Astyanax mexicanus: one gene and its partner. The protein of the gene in region 1 interacts with the protein of each later gene in a pairwise test. Links are inferred from orthologs where the notes say so. Each region holds a gene or a part of one and is shown in the gene's direction. Other genes may lie near its edges. The genes, in order: coil and pdlim5b.

Region 1 (15,981 bases):
GTTTGTATCTGATGTGCACTGATTTAGTTTATAATGGCTGGTGCTAGGCTAATGTTGCTAACAAACACTGGGCATTGACCACACCACCAACTCTTGCAGCAACCTCAAAATCTTCATTCATTTACTTCAAAATTCAGCAACCTGTTTTCTACAGAATGATAATTTTATTTTAAAACATTTAGGACCAGTTTTCCAGACAGGGAATAAGCCTAGTTCTGGACAAGACAGCATTAGATTAGATTCGCTATTGAAAGAAGAATGAATGAAGTGGTTAATGGTTAGCATGTTCGCCTCCCAGCACTGGGGTCTTGGGTTCAAGTCCCTATCTGAGTGGAGTTTCCATGTTCTCCATGTTCCATGTCTGTGTGGGTTTCCTCCGGGGGCTCAGGTAAATTAAATACTCTAAATTGATCTGGTAAATTGGATACTCTAAACTGACCCAAAATTGATCGTGTGTGTGTGTGTGTGTGTGTGTGTGTGTGTGTGTGTGTGTGTGTGTGTGTGTGTGTGTGTGTGTGTGTCTGTGTGTGTGTGTCTGTGTGTGTGTGTCTGTGTGTGTGTGTGTGTGTGTGTGTGTGTGTGTGTGTGTGTGAGAGAAAATGTAAGTATGACTGTGCTCAGATAAGGATTGGCACTCTGTGCTGGGTAAATTCTGTAGTGCCTGATGCAGTCCACCAGGTGGACGGTTGTTTCCGGTTGAGAGTATGCTGTACGCTATTGGTGTGTGGATGAGTGCTGAGTATGAATGGTTGTACATTAAATGTGTAAATTGTAAAGCGTTTTTGGGTTTCTAAAAAGTATTGTATTGGAAACCCACCCTCAGTGGGGAAACTGAAACTGTAAATTATCATTGTAATACCATCTCACATTGTATTAGTGTTCCACCTTCAGACTGGAGCACATGAATACCACACACTGTGAATTACAGTGGTTACAGTTTCTCCATCAATCAGCTTTGTAGTGAAGTTCATATTTGTGTTTTTGGACTAAAGTAAAACACACTGTGTTCTAAACCACATTCATTTACCAAACTAAAAAACATTTGGAGTTCTGAGAGATGGGCCGATGATGATTTTGGAGAGGTGTAAGATGCATGTAAGATACCCAACATGTTGTAGATGATTAAATAAATCTGGGCTCAGAGATCATTTATATTATTTTTTTTTTTGACTGATTTAAAATTTGTTCACATCAGAAAGAGCAGTGGGTGTTTTGAAATGATGAAGGTTTTGTTTTGACAGTGAAGAGTGACTCGGAGTGTTAAATGCAATGATGTATTGATCTAAAGGTGCTAATATTTATCTGCATGAAGTTGAAGTGACTGTAGGTTTTTATTTTAAACAAGATTTTGTTTTCATGAATACACTTTTATTATCAGTTTGTCTCTCCAAACAATAGATCAGGTGGCCTCCTGCACAGAGGGAATAAAAAATCTGGAGCCACTTCTGCCCTTTTGTGTACAAGACTGAATACCCCTGATATACAGTATGCACTGAAATACAACTGTGCTGAAATAAAAAATAGTGTTTGTGTAATTGTGTTTTGAACCAAACTGAAATGAATAAATACAGGTAATCACATCCCACTAGGATGTCAGTGCTGTAATATCTGTCCTATAAGTCTGTCTTATAAGCTCCAGGTTAGATTTGGATCTCACCCTGTCATTAACACGATGCAAGCTCCAGCTGATTGGTCCAGCTAACATTTACCCCTGTGTGACGCTGAATTATGTCTCCATACTTTGTTTATTATATAAAATGCACAGAAAAATGCAAAAAACATAAAAATACGCAATGTTTAGAATAAATTATAAAAAAATATATTTATGCATTTAAAATTAAAGGTTCCATAGGTGGTTCTCTAATTGATGCCATAGAAGAACCACTTTATTTAAACTGTTGCTGGGTTTTAAAGACCCTCCACCACATGATGTAAAGCATCTTCATCCCGTTCCTGGAAATTAATTAATCGGACAAAATAGTATAGAAAAAAAGACAATTTATTGAGCACATTTCAGTTAAAAAAAGAAAATCAAGTGATTCAGTTTGATTAGCCACAGAATCATCATCATCATCAGACCGAGTGGAGTGAGGTGTGTGAGGTCAAAGTATAAGCTAAAAAGCATTGATTTTGGTGAATCTGCATTGATTGTCTTAAATCTGACAGGGTGTCTTCATCACTCTTGCAAAGTGACCATCTTCAGCATCCTCAGAGCCATCTCACCCTGATCAGAGGGGATCTACAGTAAACACAAAGACAACAGACAACTAAATAGTGGTCTTATAAAACATCAGGTTGTGGTGATCTGAAGCATATTGAGGCATATTATGAACAGTAACAGTAATGATATCAGAATCATATTAAATATTGATATTTGCTGCTGTACCCTTTACCCGACACCTGCTCCAGAGCTTTTCAGAGAAATACTGAGGAAAACTTAAAACTATATTATAAAACATTGCTATGAGGAGAATTTGATTGCATTCAACCTCAAGAGAGCATTGGTAAGGTCAGCATGGATGTTGTCTGATTCTGCCATTTTTCAATAAAAATTGGTTGATGGAGCATTTTAAGCTTTTACAGTTTTTTAATGTTTAAGAATTACACAGAGTTCCAATTTATTATGCAAATTGGATTTAAGTGTCATAAAGATAACCTAACCAGAACTCACAAGCAGATACAGTTGCAGTGGACCCAAACATACATGAAGACTCATTTCCAAACAGTCTTGTTTACTGATGAGTGTATAACCGTGGATGGTACAGATGGATGGAGTAGTGGATGGTTGGTGGATGGCCACCATGTCCCAACAGGGCTGCGACGTTGTTTTGGGCTGGAATGTTTTGGTCGTGTTTTAAGCTGAAATCATGGTGAGAGAGCTGGTAGTCCCCTTTAGGGTCCCTGAAGGTGTGAAAATGACCTCAGCAAAGTTTATACAGTTTCTGACTGATCACTTTCTTCCATGGTATAAAAAGAAGAACCATGTCTTCTGGAGCAAAATCACACTCATGCAGGACAATGTACCATCTCATGCTGCAGAGAATACCTCTGTATCATTGGCTGCTATGGGTATAAAAGGAGAGAAACGTATGGTGTGGCCACCATCTTCCCCAGACCTTAACCCTATAGAGAATCTTTTGATTATCATCAAGCAAAAGATCTATGAGGGTGGAGGCAGTTTACATCAGAACAGCAGCTCTGGCAGGCTTTTAAGACATTCAACGAATTTCAAGCAGAAACTCTTCAAATGGATAACAATATTGATGCAAGAATTGTAAGAAGGTGATATCAAAGAATGTTTCTATGTAACTTGGCCTGTTAGTTAACCCTTTTAAACGTTATACATCTGGTCTGATTCACAAAATGTGGGGTAAAAGAAAAATGTGTTGAATTCTGTCTTTAATAATAATAATAATAATAATAATAATAATAATAATAATATAACTTGATTGGTCAGTTTAGTTTAAGAGCAGCAGTTTACCATGTGTCCAGCCTTCAGGATCCAGTAGAAGGCAAAGTTTTTGTAGGTCTTGTAAAAAGCTCCCGTCTGTCCTGCAGACTCTGGGTCTTCCAGAGCCGTCCACTTCATCTGATTGAACTTCTGGAGTCCTTCCCATTTCAGCTTCTTCACCCACAGCTCCTGACCTGTGAACCAGCACATACAATAATAATATTACATTCCAAACAAAACAGTATCGCTTCTAAATTGTCCTACATCGTCAAAAACTATTTTTGACCAGGTGTCTCTTACCCATCGTGTCCACAATCAGGTCCAGCTGGCCATTATAGACAGTCACATTGACCCCAGCAGACAAAAGCTCATCCACAATGTCCACCACAGGCTTCATAAAGTCTCCAGACATGCTGGAAAACACGTCTTCAGCCTGACCTGAAACATGCACACACACACAGTTCTCAATAGAAATGGACTGTACAAAGAATACCTGTATAGATAACAGACAGTCTAAACTCACTGGCCACTTTACTAGAAACCCCTACCTTGTAACAGCCAGAAAGGGGTTTCTGTAGAGCTGGGCGATATGGCCCAAAAAAAAATCTTCCATTATTTTTAAGAAATCCAATTTTCGATTTAAAACTTTTAAAATTTTTAATTTTTCCCCCTACTAAAATCTCCTAAAAGACGCTAGAAGTCTCTAAATGATATTATCGCCTAATTTGCACAATACATGTTTTTGAAGCTGTAATTTTAATAACTTTTTTTTTTTTTTTTAGCTTTCTTTAGTTTTCTTTATTTTCAAAGGGGGGGGGGGGGGGGCTGAGCTCAGGGGAGCGTCAGCGGTAAAAATTAAAACTCAGAGTAAATCGATTTTCATAAAAACACATCGACCTTAACTGTAAATTCGAATTAATCGATAAAAAGCTCCAAGTTTTTTTTATAAAGTGGCCAGGATGTTTACAGTGAAATGCTTGATAAACTGGTTCACCTCCCCATGTGACGTTCTTCGGGATGACACCTAGCTTTTTCCTGATTGGTCCATTCATCAGCTCTGAGAGTGACTGGCCATGAAGAGGCTTAATATGGCGGCGTTTCAGAGCAACTGGGAGAGACAGAGACATTTGTTTTGTCATTTTCTCAACATCAATACAGGATAAAATACACCAGCTCGTGTGTGAATCATTCTTTAGTGTCTTACTCAGATAGTCTTGGTCATCAGCACTGAACTTCACCAGGTCATCATCATCTTGTTGCGTGAGGATGTTGTAGAAATTCACTCCGTTTGTGTTCTGCAACAGAATAAGTGAGTCTGCTGTCTCTTTAAAAACATTAACATAAGTTTTCATAAAATCAGGCCTGTTCAGTTGTGGGCCATCATAAAACATTGATAAATGGTTAAGTAATATTGAAACTAATTATTAATGGACATTAGTTGAGACTTGATTAAACAATAATAAATATTGTGAACCCTGTTATTAATAATAAAAATAATGACTTGAGCCATTTGTTATTTTTATTTTTATGATTAATAATGTCTAAACTAGTCTTAACTAGTGAATTCATAATTATTTGAAACAATCTATCATAAGTACCGTTAATTGTAAAGTGTTACCAGTTATTATGCTATGTATATTTTATAGATATTTTATAATCTTGTGTATATTAAAGTACAAAGTACAAAAGTACTGACCTGTTCCACCACGTTTTCTGTAACTGACCACAGCTGAGTGGCTTTCTGATACTGACCCTGCTGCACTGCCTGCTGAACATCTTTCGCTGCTTGGGTCACCTCCTTTAGACCATAATCATCCAGCAGAGACTGGAGATCAAACACAAATAAGTTATAACATACTGGTAACAATTTACAGCAAGATGTAAAAATAAAGTTGAAAAAAAATGACATAAATTAAGAGTTCCACACTAGTTCAGTACTTCTTTAGTTTTAACTGCTGCTATAGTCCTAATCAAACCAACACGGTTTGAATCTAAATCACACATACAGACAGGGTTATGCTCCTGTATATATATATATATCTCCTGTACATAAACTGAGCATTTTCTGTATTTCAGTCCATGTTTTAAATCATAATAATTCATGCAGTGTCAGAAACCATTCATTCTCATTCATTGTTTACTCTGTTTCTATGTTGATCTGATTACTTTTAACTCCCTGACTTAATTTCAATAGAACACAGATCCAGTCTGCTCCATGCTGGGGGATTTATATCCCTCTAGCCCACTCCTTGTATTAGGCATGCTGCCAGTAGATTCATGTTTTTGTCTGCTCTAGAGGTTTCTATTTTATTGACAGTACTTTTCTACAGGAATTAGAAGGACAGTGTGTGCATTTGCACATGTGTGCCAATAATGAGTGAAATTTAAGTAAGTGAATGCATTCATTTCAATGGGATGCATTTTAACAAATAGCATACATTAGCTTTGTTGTTTCAATGTAAAACTTAATAAGCACCCACCAATATACCAAACATATAATATACACTCATTACGGCTGAGAAGTACTCACAGTGCTGTACAGATACGGCCCCCAGGTCAGGACAGAGTCTACAGTGGGGGATGAGATGTTCAGATTTAATTAGCAAACAAAAAATACACAGACATCCACTAGACATGATTAAGAAATATACCCAACAAAAAAAATCGCCTCACATTTTACACTTTTGTTATATATGTTTGATTATAATACAAACCTAAAGGAGAAATCCAGGAGTCTCCCAGCGCCACTCCAGCAAAATTACACTTAATGGAACCTTTCTGAACAGCCTGAGGAAACAAAATAGGAAATACAGGATATATGCTGTTGTGTTACACAGTAATTAACTTATTTGCCTTATAAAAGGTCTAATAACTGCAATTTGATGCATTTGTGTTTATGTATATTGTCCCTGTCCAACAAATAAGCTAGAATACAGAAACATTTCAGACGATAAATGGCCATTACACACACTCAAACACCATTCCACACACACTGAGCTGTATGCCTATTTGCAGAAGCCTTTGAGGAAGTGGACAATGACTAGAAACACACTGCTCCTATTAATAAACATCAGCTGAGTGCATGACTGAATGTCAGTGTGTAATCTGAGCACTTTTCACACATTTTATTAAAGTAATCATATTAACATTCAACAACAAATGATTTTATATTTAACATCACTGTCTACACTACTGTCTAAAATGCTTGGCAATTAGAAAAAAAACAAAGTTCCTTGTTTGAATTCCCCTTATATTGATCTGCCCTGTCACATGAGTGAGATCAGAAATCATAAATGTATTTGTTTACCTTCGTGAGCTCCAGTGAAATAGCCGAGGCCATTTTTCCTCCGTAAGATTCAGAGAAAATGTAGAAAGGAACTGTCTGTGGGAGGAAAACACAGCTGCTTTATTTTTACACTCTGATAGCAGGACCCACAGGGGGAGCAGTTTGTGTGTGAATGAGGTACCTGAAATTCAGTGCGCTGGCTGAAGAAGCTCTGCAGGAGAACCATCATGTCTGCTGCCACCATGGACACATCCGTCGCCAGGGCTTTCTCAGAGTCTGTGTAACTGTACCCTGTACCCACAGGATTATCCACAAACAGGACACTGGCAGCATTCACCTACAAAACACAGACTTATAAACATCAGAACTACAACTACTACTGCCACTACTACCAATAATAACACTAACAATAGCAAATATAGCCAGAATTAACAATCATCATCCAATCATCATTTTATAAACTACTTACCATTGTTGAGTTATTGTAACTGAGTTAAATAACTGGTAATTCTTGATAATTATAAACATGTTTTAAATTAGTCAATTACTGAGATGTCTACAATATGTCACTTATTAATTGGCACAAAGTGGCTGCTGAGAAATAGATTTTTGTTGTTTATCGCAGCACCTTTTGGCATGAAACTTGGTTTGGCATGAAACTTGATTGCCTTTCAAATAAATATTGGCTAACAAAATTGAATTTAACTGAGTTTAACTGAGATGGTAGCGATAGTGATCTTTAGCAGGAGGACTAACTGGCATATAAGTCCTTTTTTTATCTTTTTGTTTTTTTACGAATATGGTTTAAAAAAGTTGAATTATCTTATAAATATCATCATCATCAGTAGCAGCTGTTGCAGAATGATTAGTACAGTTATACAGAAATATTACTGTATTCCTTTATTATGACATTATTAATAGTATTGTAATGTATTTACCCAGGAGGTTTTCCTTGGCTTAAGGTCTGTGTCCAGAGGTCCGATCTCTCCAAAGTTTCCGAATCCACAACTGGATCCACCAGGTCCTCCCTAAAATACCAAAAACAAACACAAACCACACTGAGTGCATATGTAGTGCAGGACAGATCAGTGTTACACACAATCGCTATGTTATAGGGGAAGCAAGACCCATTGAGGGCCCTCTCAATGGTAAATTCCATTTCCCAAACCTGATTTAAATAGAAGAGTTTATTGAAGGGAGTTCACATGGAGATCAGCTGGTGAGTCACTTTTATGATGTTCTCACCTGAAGCCACATGACCAGAGGCAGGTCCTTAAAGCTGGGGCTGTTAGCATAGTAAAGCCACCAGAACATGTGTGCTCCTTCACGAACGTCCACATAACCCCAGACCTCCTTTTCCTGAACCGGGAGTGACCAGCCTGTCCAAAACACAAGAAAATTAGAAAGGAAAATACATTTTACCATTTAATTCACTTTGAGCCTGTGGATATTAAAGTATCCTGGTACCGTTTATAAATGTTACACATATTTAAATAACATTTAACATTAAGCTTCTAAAGAGTTTTAGTCACTTTGGGGCTGTAGCCCAAAACAATGCAAAAAGAGAGCGTTAATAACAGTTGAACAACTGATAAAACCTGTATCTGGGGACGTTTAGATAACTTTTTAACTTTTTTATATATATTTATTTGCCGCAGTACTCTAAAATAATGGACTCATTTTTTTATTTTCAACCGTCTCTGTTTACAGCAATTTACAGTTATTCTACACTCATGAATGAAAACGGGTTTAAATAGAGCACTAAAGGGCTTAAACTCACACATTTTTACCAAAGACCCGTTCTACCTTAAATGGCGCAGCAATTACACTCAGTCGTCCGAGCCATTTTTAAGGTGGAACGGAAAGTTCGAAAACAACCCAAAATCAGTTCTCGTTTTTTCCTTTCACTTTCACTAATGAATTCCACTTTATATCTGAAATTAACAGCTATATAACTCTGTTTTAATACATAAAACATGTTTATAAAGTAGTTCAAACATACATGAGACTGACGGGTGCGGATTTAAACACGCACTGCGTCTAAAACATTACCGCAGGTCTCCAAATCAGCGCGAACAGCGCTTTTAAAACACTAAGACTTTCACATTTACCCACCTCTACACACACTAACAGCGAACAGCAGCACCGCCGCCCATGAGCCCGTCCTGCCCGGTGCCATCCTGCCAGCCTCCGACTGTGGACCTGAACACACACCGAACACTGAGCTCCACACCGCGGCTGAAACTACATCATATGACCGGTCAGCTGACAGAAACAATAATACAAAAAAAATTAAAGGAAGAACTGCTGGGAACAGTTTTTATTTGGTGAATATATTTGAAAAAATAAAAATCACAGTATAAATGTTTATTATATTCACCATATACTAGCTTTAATTTCCGTCTAAATGTTTTACAGAGTTTATTTTATATAAAATAGGACTTTTCTTTTGAAGCACAAACTAAACGTTCACCCACTGTTACGGTGACAAGAAAACCGTCTTATAACGTTCTGGGAATGTCCTGTTTTGGTTAATAAATGTAAAAAATACCAAACGAACCATAGAAAACTAAAAAATATTTCTTTTTAAAACTCAAAACTCAAAACTCAGAGCTAGTGGCTGTATAAGTACTTTAATTTTAGTAATATCTCTTTATGTAATGCTGCATTCTTTTTATGTTTTAAATCATAAAAGTAAATAAAAAAACTATTATATATTAATGAAAGGGACTGAGAAAATAGAGTGTTGTTAAAATGATAGAATATTAATAAAATAGACTGATAGACTAAGTTCAAAAAATGACCTGAATTTAGAGCTAATTCTAAAATGTGTTGAACATCGTGACTAAAATGGTAAATGTTTTATATGTTATACATCTATAATAAATTCAATTAAATGTTATTTAGATATAAATACTTTCAACTTTAGTAAATCTAAAGGTAATTACCCTTTTCACAGAAAGTATCAGATTTACTGCTAGAGGTCGCCAAAATGTTAAACTATCTCGGTGGGTCTCGTTTTTATTAATCATTGATTGTAAAAGTCACTCATAAAAGGAAATGTAGCTTTATTTTCCCTTTTTTCAGTTTAATGATTCCATTCTATATTATCTGTGTGAATCTGGTCAACTGGACCACAGACTGTATATAAGTGTTACCTGTGTGCTGGTGCTCTCTCTGCAGCCGCGGTTCTCCTCCGGGCCGGTAGGGGGGCGGTGTGGTGATTTAGCTGCCCGGGCTCCGCTCCTCTCCTCCGGCAGGCATGGCGGGCAGCAGCGCGGTGAGGCTGCGGCTCCGGTTTGACTACCCGCCTCCCTCCGGGCCGCAGTGCCGCATGAGCTGGATCCTGCTGGACCTGAACCGCTGCAGGGTGATCGCGGATCTGTGCAGTGAGATCCGGGAGCGGTTCGGCTACAGCCGCAGGGCCGAGCTGGACCTGTTCATAGAGGAGAGCTACCTCCCGCCCACAGAGAGCATCTACCTGATCCGCGACAACGACAGCATCAGGTACAGCAGCAGCAGCACGTGCTCCAGTACTGAACACACTGTAAACACCTGGATAAATAATCCATTACTACAACTACTACCGCTCAGCCTCACTCAGACTACACTTTCACTTAATAAATATTCATTTAAACGTGTCAGAGCATAAAACACATTAACCATGAATCCAAAAACCCTTCATAACTGCATATAACATAAAACGCAGTACTAGTTTCAAACACAAATTACAGACAATCTTACACTTCCGTTCATTTTGTTTGTTCTTTTAGTTCTTGTTTTAAAGGGTCTTTATTTCATAATTAAACTTTAAACCTTTTCTTATAACATAAGTAAAAACTCTCAATCAATATATGGAAACGAAAAAGTACATTTATTTTCAGTTGTCACATATACACATTTAAATACACACATTATACATTCAGCCGTCAAATCAAAAAGCAACGTTTGTCATATTCAATACCAGTCAAAAGTTCGAACACACCTCATTGTGTTATTCGTTATTTACTTATTTGATTTTTTTTTTACATTGTAGTTTAATATTAAACACATGAACACAATTAAGGGATATATAGACAAAAGTTTACGTAGTAAACTTCCACAGACCTCCACAATCCCCTGACCTAAACCTAATCAACTGAGATGGTGATTTGGGATGAGCTGGAGCTTCACAGCATAAAGGAAAAGCAGAAACTATTGTTTAGCATCTCCAGAAACTCCTTCAAGATGCTGAGAAAACTATTCCAGTTGACTTTCCCTCATGAAGACACTGAGATTCAAATACCAAGAGTGTGCAGATCTGTCCTCTAATCTGTATCTAAATTATAAAACAGATTATTTGGTATGGTTTAACACTTTATTTATAACAAATTCCCCATGTGTTCCTTGTAATGTAAGAAATTGTAAAAAGAAAGAAAAAAAATAAATGAGAAGTGAACTTTTCAGTGGTACTGTACATTATCCTACAAGGCCCAACTAGCAGTGAAGGGTCTGGTCGCAAATCAGATAAAACAAAGATAAATTTGTACAAAGATAATAACTAAAAATTTGAATGGATTTATATATCTTTCCTGTCTAATGAAAAACAAGTACCTCCATTTTTGGTGATTTGAACACCCAAACTGTTCCTTCCAATGTATTAACACTTCTTAACGAATGGACCAATAGAAATTCTCCAAAATTAGCTGAAATACATTTTTTCTATTGAAAGTTAAGGTTTTATCTCTCCCTTATAAAGTTGTTGTTTTGGCGAAATTTGCTTTTCATTGGACAGCAACATTGTAAACTACATTTATAGACCGTAGGAACTGGGAAAGAGTCCATTGCTTGCATGGCTAATGTTCTTTACAGTCTTTCTTGCCTTGGTCTATGAATATCAGAATGCATTTAAGGTTGCAACAATATGTGATTTTCTCCTGGACCTTAGAGGAATAGCGTTATGAGGCACAACCCAGCGGGCAGAGGGTGAGGGTGTATGAGGTATGTTTGTGTACCTGCACCACTTGTCTGCTGGTCTGTTCATCAAGAGAAGATCCAGTTGAAGATCCAAGTCTCTGAGCAGGTTTTAAAAACACTTCATCATGACTGATGTAAGATCTTCTCAGCAGTAGGCAAACTAGATGAGTTTTTTTGTACAGGAAAATTTTGGATCATTTAAAGCACATTGTATCCCAGTGTCAGGGTGCCGTACAGTCAGTGTATCATCCACGTGATGGTATAAGTACCACAGCAACATTTGGGAAAACCCCTGAGACCTTGTAGTATTATAACAGTGATCTAGCTAGCAGCCACCTGGGGAACCATACTGTAGAAACTGCTCAGCAGCACCATTGCAGGCACTTGAAATACCATGGTAATCACTGCTTATTATCTGCTTCTTTATGTCTTTCTTTATTTGTTTGTCAGGGTGAAGGTTTCTAGCCTCTCATATTCAAGTGCATCTGAGCCAGTGGAGCAAGTGATCTCGGGAAAGAAGAGGAGTAGAAAAGAAGAGGATGAGGAGCAACTAGTGGAGGACTGTGCTGTTGCTGTATCAAAGAAGAGCAAAAAGGAGGTAACTCCTGTAAATGGTTTCAGTCATCATGAGGAAACTAAAAAGAAGAACAAAAAGAAGAAAAGAAAGAAGAACAAGAGGGTAGAGCCACAGACTGAAGCTGAAGCTGCTTTAAAACCAGTTAAAGAACCTCTGTCCTCCAAGGACCAGTCAGGAGCGAACAGCAGAAAGACTCCAGGTTCCACAGTGACTCCCAGAACATCAAAAAACAGTAGAAAACAGAAAGACTCCGACTCTTCAGACAGCAGTGTGGAATCTTCTAAAAAACACACACCTAAATCTAAACCCCAAACCCTACTCAAGCAGGCTGTCACAGCTAAGGCTAAAGAAACCTCCTCTTCAGAATGTTCCTCTTCTGAGGATGATTCTGCTGCACCTCCCCAGCCAAACAAACCCAACCTTGCTGTCAAACCATCTCCCATTCCACTAAAGCCCACCTCTAATGCCAACTCTAAACCATCAGTCAAAAAGCCCTCCACACAGTCTTCCTCAGATTCCTCACCCTCATCATCATCCCCATCACCCCCAGCGAGGAAGATACCACCTCCTCCTCCTCCTTCTGCAGTTCAGAACGGACCCCCACCTGCTCTATCCACTCCAGTGGCCAAAAAGAATGAAAAGAAGCCAGAAAGTTCAGATTCTGACAGCAGCAGTGAAACGGAGCTCGTGATCAAGACCCCCAACCCACAGGTCCTGGGAATGACCCCTCGAGGGGGTGGTAGGGTCAGAGGTCGTGCAGGGGTCAGGGGTGGCTTTGGTAGGGCCAGAGGAACGCCATGGAAACAGAACTTTCACTACAACTATGACAGTGGGGAGCAGCAGACGCAGGATGATTCCCAGAGCAACAGGAGCCTGATTCTGGAGGTAGGAACTGCTTAAGTTGAGATGATAAACTAGTTTGGGCATGATTGATCACAGACCCCAGACTGTAGTTATTTTTGAGCTAGTTAGTGCTAGGCCAACACTAGTAATAAATATTGTGCTTAAGCCGTGTTCACATGGAATCTGTTATTATGCTTAAATATTTAGTCCAGTGTTCGTTAGCATCCCCTAGGCTGTTTAATATGACTGAATCTGGGTTATATTGGCTATCAGTTATGTTAAATGACTGTAATAACTGATCTTTTAGAGACCAAACCTGGATATGATCATCTGAGTACATGTTATTGTGTACATTATCACTATTACAAATCTACAAGTAGTTTAGAACTAGTTTAGATTCTTAAAATGAGCATTTTCGTCATTCCAGTTCTTAAGCACAGATTCACTATTAAAGGTTATTTTATACTAAATGAAACAACAACTCAGTTTATTAATTGGTATAATAGTGGTTAAGGTAAGTTTACTTGTGAACTCTCAAACTCTCAAAATGTATTCTGATGGATTTGTGACATTGTAAACAGCATTTAGACTATTCATCTATAATCCTAATGTATAGCAGCATCTTTGAAAGCATATATAAATAGATAGATAATGGCAGTGTCTAGTGTAAGTTTATTAAAATGACTTTTCATAACTCCTGTGTCTGTATTTCTGTGTTTCAGAATCCTCCGGAGCCGAAGCCCAGTCGGGACTACAGTACCCTGCCCCTCCTTGCGGCTCCTCCTGCAGCGGGGCAGAAGATTGCTTTTAAGGTAAGATAGAGAGGGAACATCAGTGCTGATGATTGGAATTGTTATGGTTTTGCAGTGTTATTATATCGAATTATACAAACTTTTTGCCTTTAACCAGTGAGTCTCTGACTGTTGTGGTCACTAGAGGTGTGCCATATCATATCGTGTGCAATAATATCGCCACATTTTTTTTAATAACATGAACATTATTATACCCTGAAATATTGTGCCATATCACCCACCCCTAATAATCTTTTTTTTTTAAATATACTGTTTTTAGCAAAAGAAAACTACACACTGTTCTCTCAGTGTTCACTGTGTGCGTTCTTACTATCACATTCTGGATCACTGACTTCTGTTACAAATCTGATAAAATTCTTGTATTTTTTTTTATCTCAGTTAGGGGTGTGTCATCATTTTGTATGCAATAACAAAATTTAATTTTCATTTTGTTGCAGTAGTGTATTCTTGAAATAATTTTAGTGTTTTGTCATATCGTACCATGAAATATTGTGATATTATTTCAGGGCCATATGGCCCACCCCCAGTGGTCACATCATTCTTTTTTTTTTCTTTTTTTTTTTTTTAAAAAGCAGAGTGAAATACTCTAGAACGTCTTGATGTTTTGTGAACCATATCTGCTGTGCTCACCCTTACTGTAGTATTACTAGGTGACCCATACTGCTTTGTTTAGAAAGCTAATTTGTGTTTTCAGCTTAGTTGGAAAATGATCAATAAATGCATATGCATAAACAGCAGTTTACCTCCGAGCTGCGTTTAGACTGTAACAGTAAATAAACACTGTATTTTGCTGGAAAGAAGTTAAAGCGGGTTTAGTCTCAATTTCGCCCTAAAACTGACAGTGTGACACATCAGCTGTTTAGTTGTCCAGAAGGATAACGTGTCTCTTATCTGTGAATGTGTTCTTCTACTAAATCTTCACTCCTCCCTCTAACAGCTTTTAGAGCTAACGGAAAACTACACCCCAGAAGTTTCTGATTATAAGGTAAGTGTGTGCTTAAATATATGTATTTATCATGTATTATGGTATAAAAATGTTGGTTATCATACTCTGTACATTTATATTTGGATATTTAGCGTCAAATAAATATTTCTTAATTTATTTTCAAGAGGAAGACAGTGTACTTTAACTGATAACCCCTAACTCATTATATTTATTTACTGTACAATAGCAGCCCCTGTTAGAGTGGCATCAGCTGTTATAGATGCTTGATTATGTTTATCTGCTTGTTGCAGGAGGGGAAGATAGTTGGTTTTAATCACACTACTGGCATGATTGAACTAGAGATTCTCACTCAGACTCAAGGTGAGTCCTGCAAAACCTGTTTACTAACTGTGAATCACTGCTCTATCATTTATTTCACAAGCCCTGATTACACAACAGGACATGTGTAATCACAAAAATGTTCAGCCTGATCCGTTTTGTCATCTTCCCAAAATACAGTCTCATAATGAGGCCAGCTACTGTTCAGAAGTAGTATTTAGTTTATTCAGTAAAAGATTATAATATACAATATATTTTACTTTTTGTTCTTTTGTTTTAGAGCAGCAGCTTCATATTAATAATTATTTTTTTATTTGGCTAAAGTGAGCAATGTTTACAACCCATCAGCTGTAGTGAACGCAAATATCTGACTTATTCAGAGTTGTATTAAGAAATATAAAGCATTGGCATCAATTATTGTAACCAGGCCTTGAGAAAGGAGTAGATGTAATAAAGACAATTTAATTTTCATTTATTTTGCATTGTAAAGCAGTGTTACTCTGTTTTTACAGCACGTGCAGAGCCAGGGAAGTTTGATTTGGTTTATCAGAATCCAGACGGTTCAGAGAGCGTGGAATATGCCGTCACACTCGGCTCTCAGGTAACACACACAAACTTTATTTCACACACCTTTGCTCTACCCCATTTAAACGTCTGTTACTCTGACAGGACTTATTAATAAGCTGGTTAGTTGATCAGTAGTGCTGTAAGCAGGAAAATCACTGAATGTGGATGCAGGACGTGTCCCAATTTTCAACACCTTACACGCACACAAAATAGTCTCACTATTTG
Region 2 (16,920 bases), on another chromosome or scaffold:
GAGGCTTTTTTTTTTTATAACAGAACATAACTGTGTTTTATGCGCATCTAATCCCAAATTTCCTGTAAGGTTCATGGACCCTGTTATGTGTGTAATCTGTGGGAGATGACTCTGAAAGCCTATACATACTGGACTGGAGAAGTAGGAAAAGGGTGGGGGTAAATTTACGGTGTTTTTTTTTTTTTTTTCCTTTTTTTTTTCAGCACTGCTTTAACTTGCTTTTAACTAAAACAAAGGGGTCCAGTTTTAATAGTAAAGTGAGAGACTAGCCAGACCCATAGACTTATGCTGCAGAATTGCAGTTAGTGTTCTCCTGCAAGCATGTTGAGCTGTTTATTTGATTTTTTTTTTTTTGTGAAGTTTTCACTACTTTTAACTTGTTTTATTTTATAGTAAACAGCTTTTAATGTTAACTCAGGCCTAGTTACTAAGGATCAGAATCAGAATAAGAATCATTTTATTTCACCAAGTATGTTACACATACAAGGAATCTGGCTTGGTAAGAGCAACACATATATGTTACACAGCCTATTGACAAACATTACACTTTAAAAGAAGGTACAATAAACAATAAATAGAATAAGAATATAGTTAAAAGTACTAAAGGAATAAAGAGCACTGAAGAGCAACAGAAGCTAAGAGATAAATGTTGCCTTCTCTACGTATGTGTTATAACTGATTATTAATGATTTCTAGGGCATTTACAACCTAATTAGTAACCATTAATAAACTAATTGTAAACCATTTATAAACCCTTTATAAAGGTAGTCTTATTGTAAAGTGGTAATGAATATTACTGTATCCAAAAATTCTTGATGTAGGTTTATGTTAAATATTGTTTAAAGTTTGGGTTTGTCCCCAAGCCAATTTACACCATCATTAAACTGCAATGTTCTTAATAACCAGATGTCCAAATAATTATATCACTGTACTACTGTATCACCCCCAGTCATTCCACGTTATGGCAAATGGGTTTATGGGTACCAGCTTCACACACGTCTGCACTGTCCTTAACTGTCCCTTACTTCGTTTAACCCTTTCACTGCTGAGAGTAATGAAATAAGAGCTCAGTGTTGCTCTGAGATTGTACTGCTTGTACTGTATAACCTGCTGATGTCTTCACCTGTGTCTCTCACCACTGGCACTAGTGTTATGTTTTATTTCTTCTCCACATAACTGTCTGTGTATTTCTACTGTAAACTGTAGGCCTGTGAAGAAAGTACGTGATGTGAGCAAGTGATGTCACACGGTAGGAAGTAGCAGAGCTATCACACAGCCTAGAGAAATGAACGGTTCACTAGGGTTTTTAACCAATGCCCAAAGATCTGAGCAGCCAAGACATGTCTGTTGTGTGAAGATTGCATCTTTAGAGCATGAAGAATCATAATTATCATAACCATCATCATAAATGATTCAAATAGTGCTGGGCCATGTGGCTACAAATTAATATCATGACTTACTGAATAACAATTTAGCTCAAATATAATGAATAAGTGATTATTTTACAGTATTTATTGGTTTAATCTGCTTAAGTTACTCAGTTGGCTCAGTTGGCTCCATGTTGTTTCCAGAGCAGGGTCATGTGACTACATATGATAATACAATTAATTAATTAATTTTTTAAAAACAAAATAATTGACAGGATTTGTCAGTTTTTTCCTGTTATTTATTACTTTTCTAGCTCTATTAATAATTTATATTTTTATTTATATTTTCTTTGTTGTAATTTTAGTCCAATTACCCAACCCACTCATTTGGACTCCTTCTATCACTAGTGATGCCCCAACACACCAGGAGGGTGAAGACTAACACATGCCTCCTTCATACATGTGAAGTCAGACTCCGCCTCTTTTCAAACTGCTGCTGATGTAACATTGCCAAGAAGTATCAGACTCAGTTCTGATACATCAGCTCACAGACGCAGCCTTGTGCTGATCCACATCACCCTTCGGAGTGATGAGTGGAAAGAGCGCCACCTACTATACCCACCCAGAGAGAACAAAACCAGTTGTGCTCTCTCAGGGCTCCAGCAGCTGATGACGAGCTACATAAACGGGATTCGAATCAGCAATTATAATTTATATATTTTTTAAGAAATTATGCATGTTTTAATCCCTTTTTTTTACATATTTATGTGTAAGACATTGGGATTTATTTCACAAAATGCAACGAATTAGCATTTTCCAAGTTATTTAATGTACAAATTATAATTTTCAGCATATTTTCTACCTTCTGTAAATATAAAAATACCCTTAAACTTCTTATTTAACTCATTTTTTTATACAAATGCAATGTAGAGAGATTTTTTTTTATAGTGAACATCATCAGAGTCAAGATCAAAATTGAAAAGAGGGCCAAGCCAAGAGTAGTTCAGGTTATAGAATATTAAAATAATTAACAAACTAAATAAATAAATGAATAAATCCCCTTTTTTGTAGTTCATTTGAAATCTATGTGTATTCTTTATGACTGCAAATAATAATGCAAAATAATGTTAGTTCATTAGCATGATTTAGTCTGCAGTAAAGTCTTTACTGAAACTTGTTTTGTACCACAAGCCATTATTTACAAAGGTAAAATTAAATATTTAAATATTCTTTACTAATTTTATTCTTCTGTACTGAGGCCATTTAAAAAGAGGTGTGATTTTAATATTACTTCATGCATTCTAGCAAAACTTCAAACATGTCTTGGCTGATCAACATCGTTAAAGATCAACAGGGTGAAAACCATATATGTTTTGATATTTATAATATTTAAAAGCTGTTAACCAAGGAGAGCCACCTGTGATGCCTTCAATAGGTGAAGCATCTGAACCTGTCCAAACCTGTTTTCTTAATTTTTCCTCTTCATTTCTGACTATGAAGGCTAAATGTATCAGGGAGCATTACACATGCTATGTTATGCACTACAATATCTTATAAATATATATAAATATATATTTATTTAACTTTATGCAAGAATGTGTTGTTTTATGAATTGATGTTTATAATGGTTTTAAATGTGTATATCGTTGTGTTGTATGAGCTTTATAGAGACAGTTCTGATCCAGAGTGTGTAGGTGACCAATGATATGATATGAAGATGCACACCATCCTAGGGGTAAAGTTATGAGTTATGAGAGTTGGGGATGGCTTTTTAATAATTTATTATTATAACCATGTTGTCTCATGGTTTCAGCCTATTCTCTGTTGTTCAATAAACGTGTATCACAGATGAACATGATTATATTGATTAAATGTCAGACTCTGTTCACTTTGTACTCCTTCTCTGCTCTCATCACTCTGTTAAAGCTGTGTTTGATGTGAGGGCCTCTCTGTCTGAGGGTCCCGGCTGACGTATAGCTGCACGCTTGGCTGCACAGAAGAGAAGCACAATCGATGTATTAAACCCAAATGGATGTACGTGTTATGCTCGTCAATTGACTTTCTCGACTGACTGAGACGCTGGTGTTGCAGCAATGCTCTGCTGGATACACGCTCATTGTTATGTATTCCAATTGACCAAATATACAAGCTAGTTCTGAGAAATATCTAATTAGCATGATTTATCACTTACCCAACTGCCAATCAGTCAGTCAATCAATAAGTTTTTTTAAAGTAGATTGAATATTTATTACAATTATTTAATTACTAATTGTCAAATATTGATTACATGTTCTTCTATTTGTTCTAATGCACTAAAATAATACTTTTGCCACCACTATTTATTAATTATTTGAAATGTTCTGTCAGGTAGGGAGCGATGCAGATTGTGAGTATTTATTAGAATAGTACAAGAAAATAAAACAAACAAACAATAAACTAAAGAAAGAAGGAAGAGAGACACCTCCAGGAACTCCTTCCTTTAAGACGCTGAGAAAACTATTCCAGGTGACTCTCCCTCATGAAGACACTGAGATTAAAATACCAAAAGTGTGCAGATCTGTCCTGTAAGAGAAATTAAGCTAATTATTTAGAAAAATCTAAAGTGTAAAATATATTCTGCTTTGTTTAACTCTTTATATTTACTTCATATTCTACGTGTTGCTGTGTAGCTTTAATACAGTCTTTAATATTAAATTTACTTGTTTTCCTTGTGTTTCTCGTCTCCCAGTGTGCTCCCCTGTAGTTTTCCATTCAGGTGTACCCTCCTCTGTCTAATTTGTAGCTCCGCCCCCTCGTTACTTTCTCCAGGTGTCTCCCATTTCTGTTTCCCTTCTTGTGTGTTTATACCCCTGTGTTCCTGCTTTTCCTTGTCAGTTTTTGCATCCTTCCTTTGTTGTTTTTCGGGATCATATCTGTGTTTGCGTTCCCTGGTTCACACTGTTTATTTTCCCTGCTTGTTTCTTGTTTATCTTAGTTTATTTTCCTTGTTTATTCCTTATTTATTTTCCTTGTTCTGTTTAGTTCATGCAGTCATCTTTATGTTTCTCGTTTGATTTCTCAGTTACCCTATACCCGTTTGTTTCTCCTAGTCTCTTGTTTGTTTTGGTTTGTTTCTTTATTCCCTTGCTTGTTTATTTATTTTTTATTTTTTAATAATAAATGTCCTCTTACCTGCACTTACGTCCGCCTCGCTGACAAAACGAAATAAAACACACTGAATAAGATAGAAAAGATATATTCAAACGTTTGCAGCCAGTGTTTACAAGCAGTTCTGAGATTGAGAAGTCCATATTTGAGCAGTGGATGGCGCCACAGGACTGTGCTACAACATCCTCCTCTGAGAGGAGCTGAAACAGCCTGTGGACATGACTGTCTGCTCTCAGAATTACCCAAAAAAGGAGCACAAATTCAGCTGTAAAAACCTTTTTAAATGTAAAATATAAAACACATGTGGATAGTTAACACATGTTCCTGTTTGGTGAAGCAAAGTCCCCATTATTACCATCAGCTGAGCCTGGCAGGCACTTCCACTCTCTCTTAAACACCGAGGGGAAAGAATTACATCACCATTTAAAAACTGAACCAGCCAGCCTGCTATCACTAAAGCCTGGTATCGGCCAACCTGCATACTTACTGCATGCACTCATTAGGTTGGGAATAGTTCTCATTGTTTAGATGCACTGCAGGTCTTTCCCTTTTAAAGTCATGATAAAGGCTATTGTTTGATTGTATTGTTCAAAGCCAGTGAAGCTTCTGACCACATACCTCTCAACATCTGTTTTTTCCTCATACCTGCAGGTAGACAAGGAAATAAAGCACTTTCTTTTTTTCTGGTTTATTTTACCTGTTAATTATAAGTATCTATGTTTTGAAATCTTGACTTGGTTGCGTGAAATTCAGTCATGATATCTTTGCAACTTTTCAGTTAAAAACGACAAAATAATCTCAAAATTTCAACTTATAACAATGAATGACTTAAAATAAGTTAAAATAATTACTTTCTCACTGTTTACTTAACATATAAAAATCAAAACATTTTGATTAAAATGTATCAAATTATGACATGTTATGTCAACAATTTAACTTCATCAAATATTTGACATAGTATTTAAACATTTTAACCTGGTATCTTAAAACAAAAACTTCTCTCAAAATTCCAATTATTGTCTTAATAATGTAATATTCTGTTTTGATTTCTAAACATTTTGACTTGTTTTCTTGAGATTTGGACATGTTGAGTATTTTAACTGAGCATTTTGGTTTAAAAGAAGTTAAAATAATACATTTCTCAAAAAAATGTTCTTTGTTTAATTATCTTTTAAAATTGATATTCCAAATTAACTTACTTTGTCAAAAAAATGCATCATTGAAATTTACAAGAAAGTATATTTAAAAATATATATTTACTTATATAATTCACTCCAGAGATTGTGCACATTTTGATTACATCCCAAACTTTTGAGTTTTTTCCTACATTTTCTACAAAAGTTGCATTTTCTTTTTTATTTTATGTATATATAATTTTGTATTATTATTCAGGGCAATTACTCTTTAACATCTGAGTTTACTAAGCTTAGAATGTCTTAAATTCAGAATTTCTAAAATTCACTGCACTATGGAGAAAAACCTATGTTACAATTGAGGAGACTTGTATTAATAGTGCAGTCTTAAACTGTGCTTAAAAAAGCTTATCAAGGTTTTATTAGTAGTAAAGGCAATGGTGATATAAAGAGTAAAAACAGTTAAGAGAATAATTTGGCTGCTTTAGTGGTTCACTGTCTGGTAAAAAGCTTCTTCAGGTAGCTGCAAAATCTTTTTGTAAATAGTTTTATTAGGAAACAAATGGGTTTTAATATCATTTGAAGTCAAATAAACCTTTTTTAGTACTAAATAGATAAAGTATATAAAGTACACTGGGTTGGTTTAATCTTTGAGCAGCTCACCTGATTCCACTTGTTTAATCAGTTGGTCAGTCTTCAGACAACTGAAGAAATGTGTTTGTATTTGGCTGGAATGAAAACCTTCAGCCACACCAGCCAGTTATTGACAGGTTTGACACCCTTGGCTCAGAGTGTAGGCCTACCGTGATTGAAATAAAAAAAAAGTTTAAACAGCCTTAAAAGACCTGCTGTTGATTAGACATCATCTGGTGCATTAGATCAAATGCTCAGAGACTTCAACATTAAACTCTGAGGTATGTTAGTCTTTTAGGTTGTGTTTGTGTCTATGTTACCTTCTTGCACTTCAGTCAAATATATATTTTTCAATACTATATAGGGCTATATATAAACAGGGGAGTCAAACTTGGTCTCACTGGGCCGGTGTGGCTGCAGGATTTTATTATAAATAAAGCCAGCTCACCTGATTCCACTTGTTTAATCAGTTGGTTAGCCTTCAAACTAATGATGAAATGTGCTTGTGTTTGGCTGGAATTAAAGCCTGCAGCCACACCAGCCAATTGTAGACAGGGCTGACACCCATTGGCTTAGAGTGTAGGCCTACCATGACTGAAAAAGGCCTCAAAAGGCCTGCTGATGATTGGACATCATCTTCAACATTAAACTCTGAAGCATGCCAGAGTTTTAGGTTGTAATTGTGCCTATGTTAGCTTCTGGCAATTACTTTCAGTTAGGCTGTTATCATTTCAAGTCAAATAATGTTTTTTTTTTTTCAGTACTATATAGAGCTATATGAAGGGTATAACCCTTTATGCTTAGAACAGGGGAGTCAAACTTGATCTATTGGGCAGCTCACCTGATTCCACTTGCTTAATCAGTTGGTCAGTCTTCAAACAACTGATGACATGTGCTTGTGCTTGGCTGGAATTAAACCTGCAGCCACACCAGCCCAGTGTGGACAGGTTTGACATCTATGACTACACTCATCTTTGAGTGTAGACCAACTGTTATTAAAAATAACCACATAAATGGCCTTTAATAAAAAGCTGTTGATTAGCCTAAATCTGGTACATTTGTTCTTGACCAAATACTGAAGCAGAGTATAAAACAGAGTTAAAAAAAATAATCTGTAATAATTCACTAAATAAAATATATGAAACTTTAAAGTATTCCAGTGTTTCAGAAAGTGCTGGTGTCTATGTTACCTTCTGGCACTCTTCTTATAGTTAGGCTGTTATAGTGAGTAGTCACAGACTATAGTCACTTCTGATTTGCTTATCTTTTGTGTTATGACACAATACGACAATATTACATGTAAAAAGCACACTTAATGATCAGGGGTGCGTTTCCCGATAGCGATTGTTCTTAGGGATTTAAGAACAACTTTAAGAACGACTTAACTTTAAGAACGCCATTTTTCCGACTGTTTCCAGAAGCCACTCTTAAGTCTCCATACTTACGAAGGACCTTTAAGTAGCACTTTGGTGGCTCCGCCCCCGTGTCTGTGAGGTTTAAGGCAAAGCCAGATGAAAACTAGACCACCGATTTATATACAGTTCTTCATTATTAAGCCACAAAGGTATAATTTTGTATGATATAAAAAGCCAAATAAAATATATTTACTTATTTGTTTACTACTACGACTGTCAGACTGGGGAAAACCGTTAATTTAATCCATATGTGTGTGATATGTGTGAATAAAAATTATATTTGTAGGTAATTGTAACTTTTTCTTCACGTGAATACGATTATTTCAACCATATAATAAACCCAAATACTATGAATAAATATGCGCAGGTTAATAAATTAATTTAAATAGTCTGGAATTTAGTCTTTTTTTTATTGTTTATTTTTTTATAAATACGTATGCTGAATGCATCTTTAAATGCATTTTTTTAAGGATCAAAAGCGGCCTCTTTCGTTTTTGAGTCAGAACTGCACGTGGATTCCACGTTAAGAAGAACTTAGTTATTTACGAGTGGGTCAGACCACTCGTAAAGTTACGAACGAGTTTAAGTACTACGTTAGTTACGAAGGCTTTCGGGAAACGCTCGTAATTTTAAGATTGTTCGTAAGTACGAAGTTACGAAGTACTTAGCGTTAAGAACGTTTTGGGAAACGCACCCCAGATTTGTTCTATCAGCCTGTTTCTGGATTCTCTACATCATTAATCTTCTTCACATTCTTAGTAATTGATGGATTTTTTTATTTACTGCTTTACTGCTAAGGTTATCATAACGTTCCCTCATCGGTTGGATTTAGAATCTCTGTGCTTCTGAGAATCTGCGCTGAAGTCTGTCACCTCCTTGACTAAGACCCAGGAATTCTTTGCTCCTGTGAAAAACATTGAAAAGTTTTCCTCTAAATCTTTCTTTCTCTTTTGCTTTCTTTCTTTTTTTGCTCTCTTTTCTTTGTGTTGGCATTCTCTCAGCCCCAGTGGTCTGTTTCTTTAAGCTCTGAACTTCTAGTCCTGCTCCATTTTTAATGTTCAATGCTCATGATTAATCACTTTCACAATTAAAGGATAATTCTGGGCTAAAACTAGAATTTGATATATTTTTTGCCATGTATATAATATTTCACAGAGATTTGATGACGCTTTATTATATGTTTAGGTCCTTTATTTTGTTTTATTTAGTATTTTATTTATTAGTATTTGTCAATGTGCTTTTCTATCAGCATCCATGCATAGAATGTTTGTCATCTGAGGTCTTTTGACATCATGACCAACATATTTTTTTCTTCCCTCAAATAGTTTCTCAAAACACCTTTCCCACATACAGCTCTGTAAAAAAAAATAAAGACCACTTAAAAATGATGAATTTCTTTGATTTTACCAAATTAGAAACATATCAAGAGGATATGGAATGGAATCTAATCAAGAGGAATGTGGATGATCAAAAGCCAACAAAACAAGCTGAACTGCTTGAATTTTTACATCAGGAGTAAAGCAGCATAGAATTACCCAAAAGCAGTGTGTAAGACTGGTGGAGGTGAACATGCCAAGATGCTTAAAAAGTGTGAATAAAAACAGTGTTATTGCACTAAATGTTGATTTCAGAACTTCTAAAACTTTATGAATATGAGTTTGTTTTCTTTGCATTATTTGAGGTCTCAAAACTCTGCATCTTGCATTTTGTTATTTTAGCCATTTCTCATTTTCTTCAAAGAAATGCTCTAAATGACAATGTTCTTTTGGTTGGAATTTGGGAGAAATGTTATCTATGTAGTTTATAGAATAAAACAACAATAATCATTTTACTCAAACATAAACCTATAAATAACTAAATCAGAAAAAAAATCTGATTTTTTTTTTGTGATCAGTGTGGGATTCACCTAACTTTCTCACTTGATTCATCTCTGAAAATAACGGCAAGCAACAGGTGAGTGGGCAGCAGCCCTAAACTCAGACGACCAATTAAACGCCGCTTTGCTCTCCTCAGCGTCCAATCAAATCGATTGTGGTGAAGTCACCCTCCCGCCCCCTTAGAAACATCCAATCAGAAGCGAGATTCGGACGGTCGCCTGGCTGCAGGAGCGCACGAGCGAAGTGTGGAAGTTTCAGTCAGTTGTGTTCGAGCGAGCGGCGGAGAGAGTCCGGAGTGAAGGTGAGTGAGTGCTGGGGGGAGAGTTCAGCGGCTCTGAGAGGCTTAAAAAAGCCGGGTTTAAACCGGTTTAAAGCGATCTTAGACTGACTTAAAGCGGGTTTAGAATAAGTTTAAAACGTTTACGTTAAGTAAGAGGTCTTAAGTGTAAGAATAAGTCGTTTAAACAGCCTGAAACAAGCTGTAGTAGAATTCTGACAGCAGCGTTATAAAAGCACGAGCTTGATTCGGTTTAAAGAGTGAAACCGGTTTAAAGTGAAAGCAGCCAACAGCGTTTAACAGTGAGTGTCTGTTACTCAGAGTGAGAGAGAAGAGTTACAACACGTTTGTGCTTCAGGAAGTACACACACACACACAGAGGTGGAGGGTGTGTCAAGTCTGTGGGGAAGTGAGGTGACTGACTACCGTTACACAGTGTCAAACAGATTGTTACAGTATTTATATCAGTTACAGAAACGCTGTGTTGCTTGAATTTTTGCACCAGGAGTGGCATAAAGTTATCCAAAAGCAGTGTGTAAGACCGGTGGAGGAGAACATGTTAACTGTGATTAAAAACCGGGGTTAATTCACCAAATATTGATTCATGAAAGGACAATATTTGTATTTGGAATTTGGGAAACTGTTGTCTGTAGTTTAGAGAATAAAACAACAATGTTCATTTTACTCAAACATAAACCTATAAATAGCAAAATCAGAGAAACTGATTCAGAAACTGAAGTGGTCTCTTCATTCTTTCCAGAGCTGTTGATGATAGATGGTTAGATACTTTATTGATCCCAGAGGGAAATTCTGGACATCAAGTAGCAGATATACATAGTGCACAGATGTTACAAAAAAGTATAAGATGTAATGATACAGATAAAAAAATAAGTAATATAAGTAATTATTTTTAGATGCTAAGTCATATTAGGGAGAAACGTCATTATTTTGAGGTGCCATGTCTAAACTAGGTGAAAAAAAAAACATGTTTTTTGGATGCAAAATCACAGTTCCTAGAAAAGTGTCGTCTTTATTCTGTATTCTTATAAAGAACTTCAAGATTATATGTCTTATTGTAGGCAATAAGTCAAACATTTGTATATATGCACGTTGTGAGCTTCTATGACTAGCATGTATGTTCAGCTGCTGTCAGTTTATTTCAGGTCCTTTGAACATCCATCTACTTTCTATTTTATTTTATATCTGATCTTATTCTGTTGTGTTGGTGACTGAACTGCTCTTATGTTAGTTCCAAAGATGAGCCGTATATCTTCTAACAGTCTTTTGCTGCTATTCTAATAGTTCTAATAGTGTTCCACTTACATACAGTCCTGTAATAAGCCACACAGTACTTTAGTTACAAAATTTAGCTAGGCTACTCTGTGCTCTTTTTCTGCTTAATTGAACACTGTAACACAGATTAAAATATCTCTCCAGTTTTGGGAAGGTTTAGGAATGTCAGGAATGATCTGTGGACGCTTTTTGTGGCGAAGCTTTGTTAGCCAGTTGGTTGCCAGTTACAGGTTTAGCGTCGTACGTTGAATAAGTCCTGAAGAAAGAAAAACATAGTTAAGCGTAATAATCTAATTACAGGTAATCTGTGCAATTTTGATGGCTAATGGAGAGCTGGCCTGGCAGGGGTTCAGCTACAACTGCTATTTAAGTAGCCCCTCAGCCCCTCAGATTAGTAATGCAGTTTTTTTACAGGCTGGTGGTGAGATCATGGCATGTGAAGGCAATGAAGGGAGGATATTCAGAGAGCTGGTATTTGCAGACAGAGTAATTCCTGAGCGTAAACCAGGTGTTGCTCCAAGGTTCCGCCACCCTTGATGTGGTAAACCCATTAAAGCAGGTGTGTAGGTGCTCAGAGGCAGGTGGGCAGGTGAGGCTCCAGATGTCTTGACATAAAGAGCCTTTATATCAGCACCAAGTGGTGACTTGATGAAGAGCTTTTGGCCAAGATGAGTCAGTCTAAACCTTCTGCTGTACAAACTGCATATTGAGAATAAGGCTATGTTCACATTACAAGCCACGTTGCTCAAATCAGATTTTTTGCTCAGAATGTGATCTTAACGGTTCACATTCACAAATGTAAGTGATCTGTATCTGTGTGTAATGTGAACGAATCTGTCTCTGTATAAACGTCACCTTCTTCACCAACAACAAAAAATGTCATATTTGAGAGACGAGAGACTCGTAGCTTTATAAAGGTGAAATGGATGCGTTAGCAGTTCATATGTGGAGCAGAAAAGAGGGGAAAAAAGGCTAGGTGGTTTGCTTTTGCTGTTTTTGCAGCTATAGCTGCACAGCTGCACCAAGAGATGCAGTGTGGGTAGGGGAGAGAAGCACGTAGCACTAATGCTAATGCGTAAGAGCAAAAAGACGCATGAATTCATGAATTCATTTGACCGTTCACATTCTTGTCGCATGTCCATTGATCGGATACGTATCCGATTTAGGACCACATAGGAAAGTGACTTAAATCTGATTTAAAAAAAAAACTTGATTTGACATGTTCACACAGCCATGAAAAAATCAGATCTGATCCACTTTGATCAAAAAATCAGATTTGCGAACATAGCCTAAGTCTACTCTGTATGTACAAAAGTATTGGGAGACCAGTACATTACACTATTTAAAATCACATTAGTGTGGAGTTGGTCCCCTCTGTAACTTTACATGGTTGGACGCTCTTTCTGAGAATATCTAGGTGGAGGAAAGAAATTTCACCAGCTGACTTTGTTGCAATAGGTCAATCACACACACAGCACTAGGGATGCTCCAAACTTTCTGCAACCTAAAGATAATAGAGAAATGGGGCAAAAATAAATGTGTTTGGCCTTTAGCCTGTCCATCTTTGGACACGTTTCCATTGTGTTTAAATGTGCAAAATACTGCAAAATGTGTTATAAACTGGAATATCTAATACCTCTGGGAGCCTGGGAGAGTGCTTACAATGATGGAACAACCTAGAAAATTAAAAAATTGTTCATATTTTGGTTGGATTTGCCATAAAAAATGGTCAAACCAGTTGTGGTAAACTCCAAATCCTTTACACTGTAAGCCCGGATAAGTTGAGTTTACTTAAAAAATTTGAGGAAACCGGTTGCCTTAAAAAAGTTAAGTAATGGGCAATGAAAACTTAAGTTAACATAACTTAAAACATCAAGTTAATACAACTAAATGGTAAGTTGATTTAACTCTTTTGTTTTTGTTACACCAATTCATTTGCCCTACAATTCTACTTAGTATCTTGAGTTACAAGTAAGCAAAAATTTTGATTTCTTCTTACTTTTATTTTTTATTAAACGTTACTTAAATATTTTTATAAATATTCATGGAAAAAACAGAGAAAAACTCGCGGGTCCGACGGGCGTAGCTCGCGGAGCTGGCGGGAGAAGCTCGCGGAGCTGGCGTGAGAAGCTCGCGGAGCTGGCGGGAGAAGCTCGCGGAGCCGGCGGGAGAAGCTTGCGGAGCCGGCGGATGGAGCTCGCGGAGCTGGCGGGAGAAGCTCGCGGAGCTGGCGTGAGAAGCTCGCGGAGCCAGCGGGAGAAGCTTGCGGAGCCGGCGGATGGAGCTCGCGGAGCTGGCGGGAGAAGCTCGCGGAGCTGGCGGGAGAAGCTCGCGGAGCTGGCGGGAGAAGCTCGCGGAGCCGACGGGCTCGCGGAGCTTGCGAAGCCGACGGGCGAAGCTCGCAGAGCTCGCGGAGTCGATGGGAGATGGCAGAAAAAAAACTTTTTTTTTTGCATTTAAACCTGCCCTTTTCCCAGCTTGCTGTTGGTGAGGCGGCGGGCGAAGCTTTGCGTCCTCCGTGCCTCTGCAGTCTAAACTGCAAGGCGGGAAAATGTGGGCAGCTCAGTGGACCAGTCACAGCTGCCGCTCTCCGTGTCGCTGAGCCTGCGAGCCTGCCCGCCGTCTCCGCGAGCTTCTCCCGCCGGCTCCGCGAGCTTCGCCCGCCTGCTCCGCGAGCTTCTCCCATCGGCTCCGCAAGCTCCGCCCGCCGGCTCCGCGAGCTCAGCCGAAGCTTTGCGTCCTCCGTGCCTCTGCAGTCTAAACTGCAAGGCGGGAAAATGTGGGCAGCTCAGCGGACCAGTCACAGCTGCCGCTGTCCGTGTCGCTGAGCCTGCGAGCCTGCCCGCCGGAGAAGCTCGCGGAGCTTGCGGAGCCGGCGGGCAGACTCGCAGGCTCAGCTACACGGACAGCGGCAGCTGTGACTGGTCCGCTGCTGCCCACATTTTCCCGCCTTGCAGTTTAGACTGCAGAGGCATGGAGGACGCAAAGCTTCGCCCGCCGCCTCACCAACAGCAAGCTGGGAAAAGGGCGGGTTTAAATGCATAAAAAAGTTTTTTTCTGTCAAATAACTTAAAAAGTTAAGTCAATCAGTTCAAAAACTTAAAATGTTTAGTTTATTAAACTAAAAACTATTAACACGTTTAAATACGTGCTGAAATGAGTACAATATACTTACATTTGACAGTAATGGACTAAAACTTAATAATTTATGTACATTGAATATACATTTTTAATTAGAAATAAAATCCGGGCTTACAGTGTAGTTTGTACAATTATCTGAATGTTTTACTGTTTATATAACTTATCATATCATTCCCAGCTCCAACGTCCAACTTACGGGGTAAATGGAACGTACCTTGGAAACACCTCTGGCAGAAGGACTGAACAAAACACCAGAACTCAATGATTAAGCAGTGTGCTCCAGTGAGCGGTCCTGTTGGCTATATAGTGTAATATCAGTGGAAAATGCTATTAGTTTCCAGGAACACGATTCTGATCACATCCGTCTGTTTAAACTTTTTCTTTAATCAGCGCAGATGTTTTGAAGGTGTCTCGCTGTAGACTTATATCCCTACATGGCTTATCAGGCCTTGTTTGAAGGCTGTATCTCAATATGTTTTGCGGTCGACACAATAGTTCGGCTGTGCGTAGGTCATGTGTGGTCATGTGCGCAGCCCGGAGCTGGTAAACATTAAACAGTGCAGTGATCACACATGGAGCTGAACGTTCAGCACAGTTAAAGCGGCCACCTCCTCCTTTCATCGGAACACATGATTCATAAACAGATGCGTGCATTTCTGGTAGCTCACCCCGCTCCTCATTTGTGATGATTTAACTGGCTGCAGTTTGCATCCCTTTCAGCTGGAGTGGAGTATTTCCAGCGCAAAAAAAACTTTCGTGACTTTCGTGAACCCGCGCACCAGTTGTCTTCGTCTTCGGCTATTTTCGGCACATTTGTATTCTTGGCTTTGTCTATAGACTGGAGCTCGGGGGTGGGATGGCTATTATTGCCATTACCCATTCATTCCTCCGCCTGAGCAAATGTGGCCGGTACTCCCTTTAGGCCGTGTAAGTTATGAGCTGAGCTCAACCAGCAGATTTTCCCTACAGACCTCAGCGCTATTGAGCTTTCCAGGGTGTGCCTTTGGCACCACGTCTACTCTCAGCTCAGGAGAAGCCGATTGTAGTTGACAGAAGAATGTACATGCCAGCTTTCACGTGGATGCAGATCCAGATCCATTTTTTTTGTTTATGTCCATGGTGACAGACATATAAAGTCGTCTAGGCCTATTTTAGGCTGCACCGTTTTCACCCCACCTTTCTGAAAAGAGAAGGATCTGTATGGAATAATAATAGCAGCTCAGGAGACTCTCCTGGGTTTTCCAGCCGCAGAATAAGTCTATTACACTTTAATCTGAAGCTAAAGCTGATTTCCATCTGGAAAATCACTATCCATACCTCCATTGTAGGGCAAGACACTGATGAATGCTCTTTAGCCCTTCCTGTTCTTTGCTCACACAGAGATAGAAAGCTCTTATCTTGCTTGTTTTCCTCCGCTTGTCTCCTCTGTTTCAATTTTTACTGCTTCTCCCTTGTCTTTTAAGTGATTTAACCAAAAGCCGCATTCCCAAGATAATACCTCGGGTCATGTTTCAGCAAATGCCTTAGCCTCAATTGTAGGACTATGTTAAGCCACTTAGCCTCCCTCCACTCTAATTCCATGTGGCTTCACGCATGGGAGTGTTCCCGGAGGCTCGTCAGAGCTCCGCGCTTATCGTGTCTCGATATTTCCACTCCCAACAACCAGCCAGCGGAGCAGCAACAGCCCTAATCTAGATTAGATCAACAGAGGGAACCCAGGTTAGGTAATTAGCCAGTTGCCGAGAGCTTTTGTTTCCGCTGCCGGCCCGCGGGCATGTGGCTGCAGGAACGGGAAAACTGTTTCATTCATTTCGCTCTCTTTACGGTGCCGGGCATGTTCTCAAAACAAGGCCAGTTCAGTGTGTTACCCCACCCTAGCAGGAAGAGCTGTGACAAAAGAAACCTCTGTATGAGGAACTAGAGGTTTCTCATAAACCACAAGGTCAAGGCATGATCTCATGACACACTGAAAAGAAAGATAAACAAAACATAACAAAATGAGGTGGGAAAAAAAAACGTATGTTGTAAAATATGTTCTCAGTTTCTCTGCATACGGTGTCAGGACTTCACAAGATCACCACAGAGCAGCTATTATTATTATTATTATTATTATTTGGGTGGTGGGTCATTTATTCTTAGTGTAACAGCTGAGTGTCTCTCTCTCGACATCTGCTGACTTGCCACGTACAGTTGCTACAGATCCCTCCCTCAAACAAAGTCTGCTGGCTAAGTAAAGTTACTGATAAACAACAATTAAGTTGAGAATTCTGAATTCTGAACATGCCCATAGTTTACTTTACAAATGTGAAATAGTTCCCATGTGCTTATTGTGTGACTTAGCTCTGGCAGAGCACATGTTAGACTGTGCTAGAGTAAGGTAAGAGACACTGGCTGGCAGGATGTTGTAAATGCAAGGCAGAACTCCAAAATAGTGAACAGAAATGAACAATTGTATAAAAAAGGATTTTTTTTTTACAATTCACTCTATTACACACTCCTACCTACAGCTGCTCCACTTTGTAGATGAAGTAAAATCAGAGACAGTAGCTAAGCTGAAATGTTTAAAAACTCAAGCAACACTGCTGTGTCTGATCCACTCATTCCAGCACAACACACATCAACACCTCCTATATCACC

The links.
Region 2: the proteins of coil (region 1) and pdlim5b interact in binary tests that used the Homo sapiens proteins (3 or more experiments, as listed by UniProt). The two-hybrid records come from large-scale screens. The link is inferred for Astyanax mexicanus from reciprocal best matches to the Homo sapiens genes COIL and PDLIM5.

The regions. Positions count from the first base shown.
Region 1 is NC_064426.1:14,148,369-14,164,349, reverse strand, and holds the start of coil (coilin), read left to right. Parts: upstream 1-9,940; 5' UTR 9,941-9,999; coding exon 10,000-10,244; intron 10,245-12,143; coding exon 12,144-13,155; intron 13,156-13,835; coding exon 13,836-13,925; intron 13,926-14,862; coding exon 14,863-14,910; intron 14,911-15,161; coding exon 15,162-15,231; intron 15,232-15,701; coding exon 15,702-15,790; intron 15,791-15,981. Other genes in the region: scpep1 (retinoid-inducible serine carboxypeptidase), read right to left, coding at 2,177-2,239, 3,482-3,645, 3,752-3,889, 4,446-4,559, 4,656-4,746, 5,148-5,276, 5,982-6,019, 6,166-6,238 and 5 more. UniProt on the Homo sapiens protein: Component of nuclear coiled bodies, also known as Cajal bodies or CBs, which are involved in the modification and assembly of nucleoplasmic snRNPs.
Region 2 is NC_064427.1:4,300,256-4,317,175, reverse strand, and holds the start of pdlim5b (PDZ and LIM domain protein 5b), read left to right. Parts: upstream 1-9,771; 5' UTR 9,772-9,873; intron 9,874-16,920. UniProt on the Homo sapiens protein: May play an important role in the heart development by scaffolding PKC to the Z-disk region. May play a role in the regulation of cardiomyocyte expansion. Isoforms lacking the LIM domains may negatively modulate the scaffolding activity of isoform 1.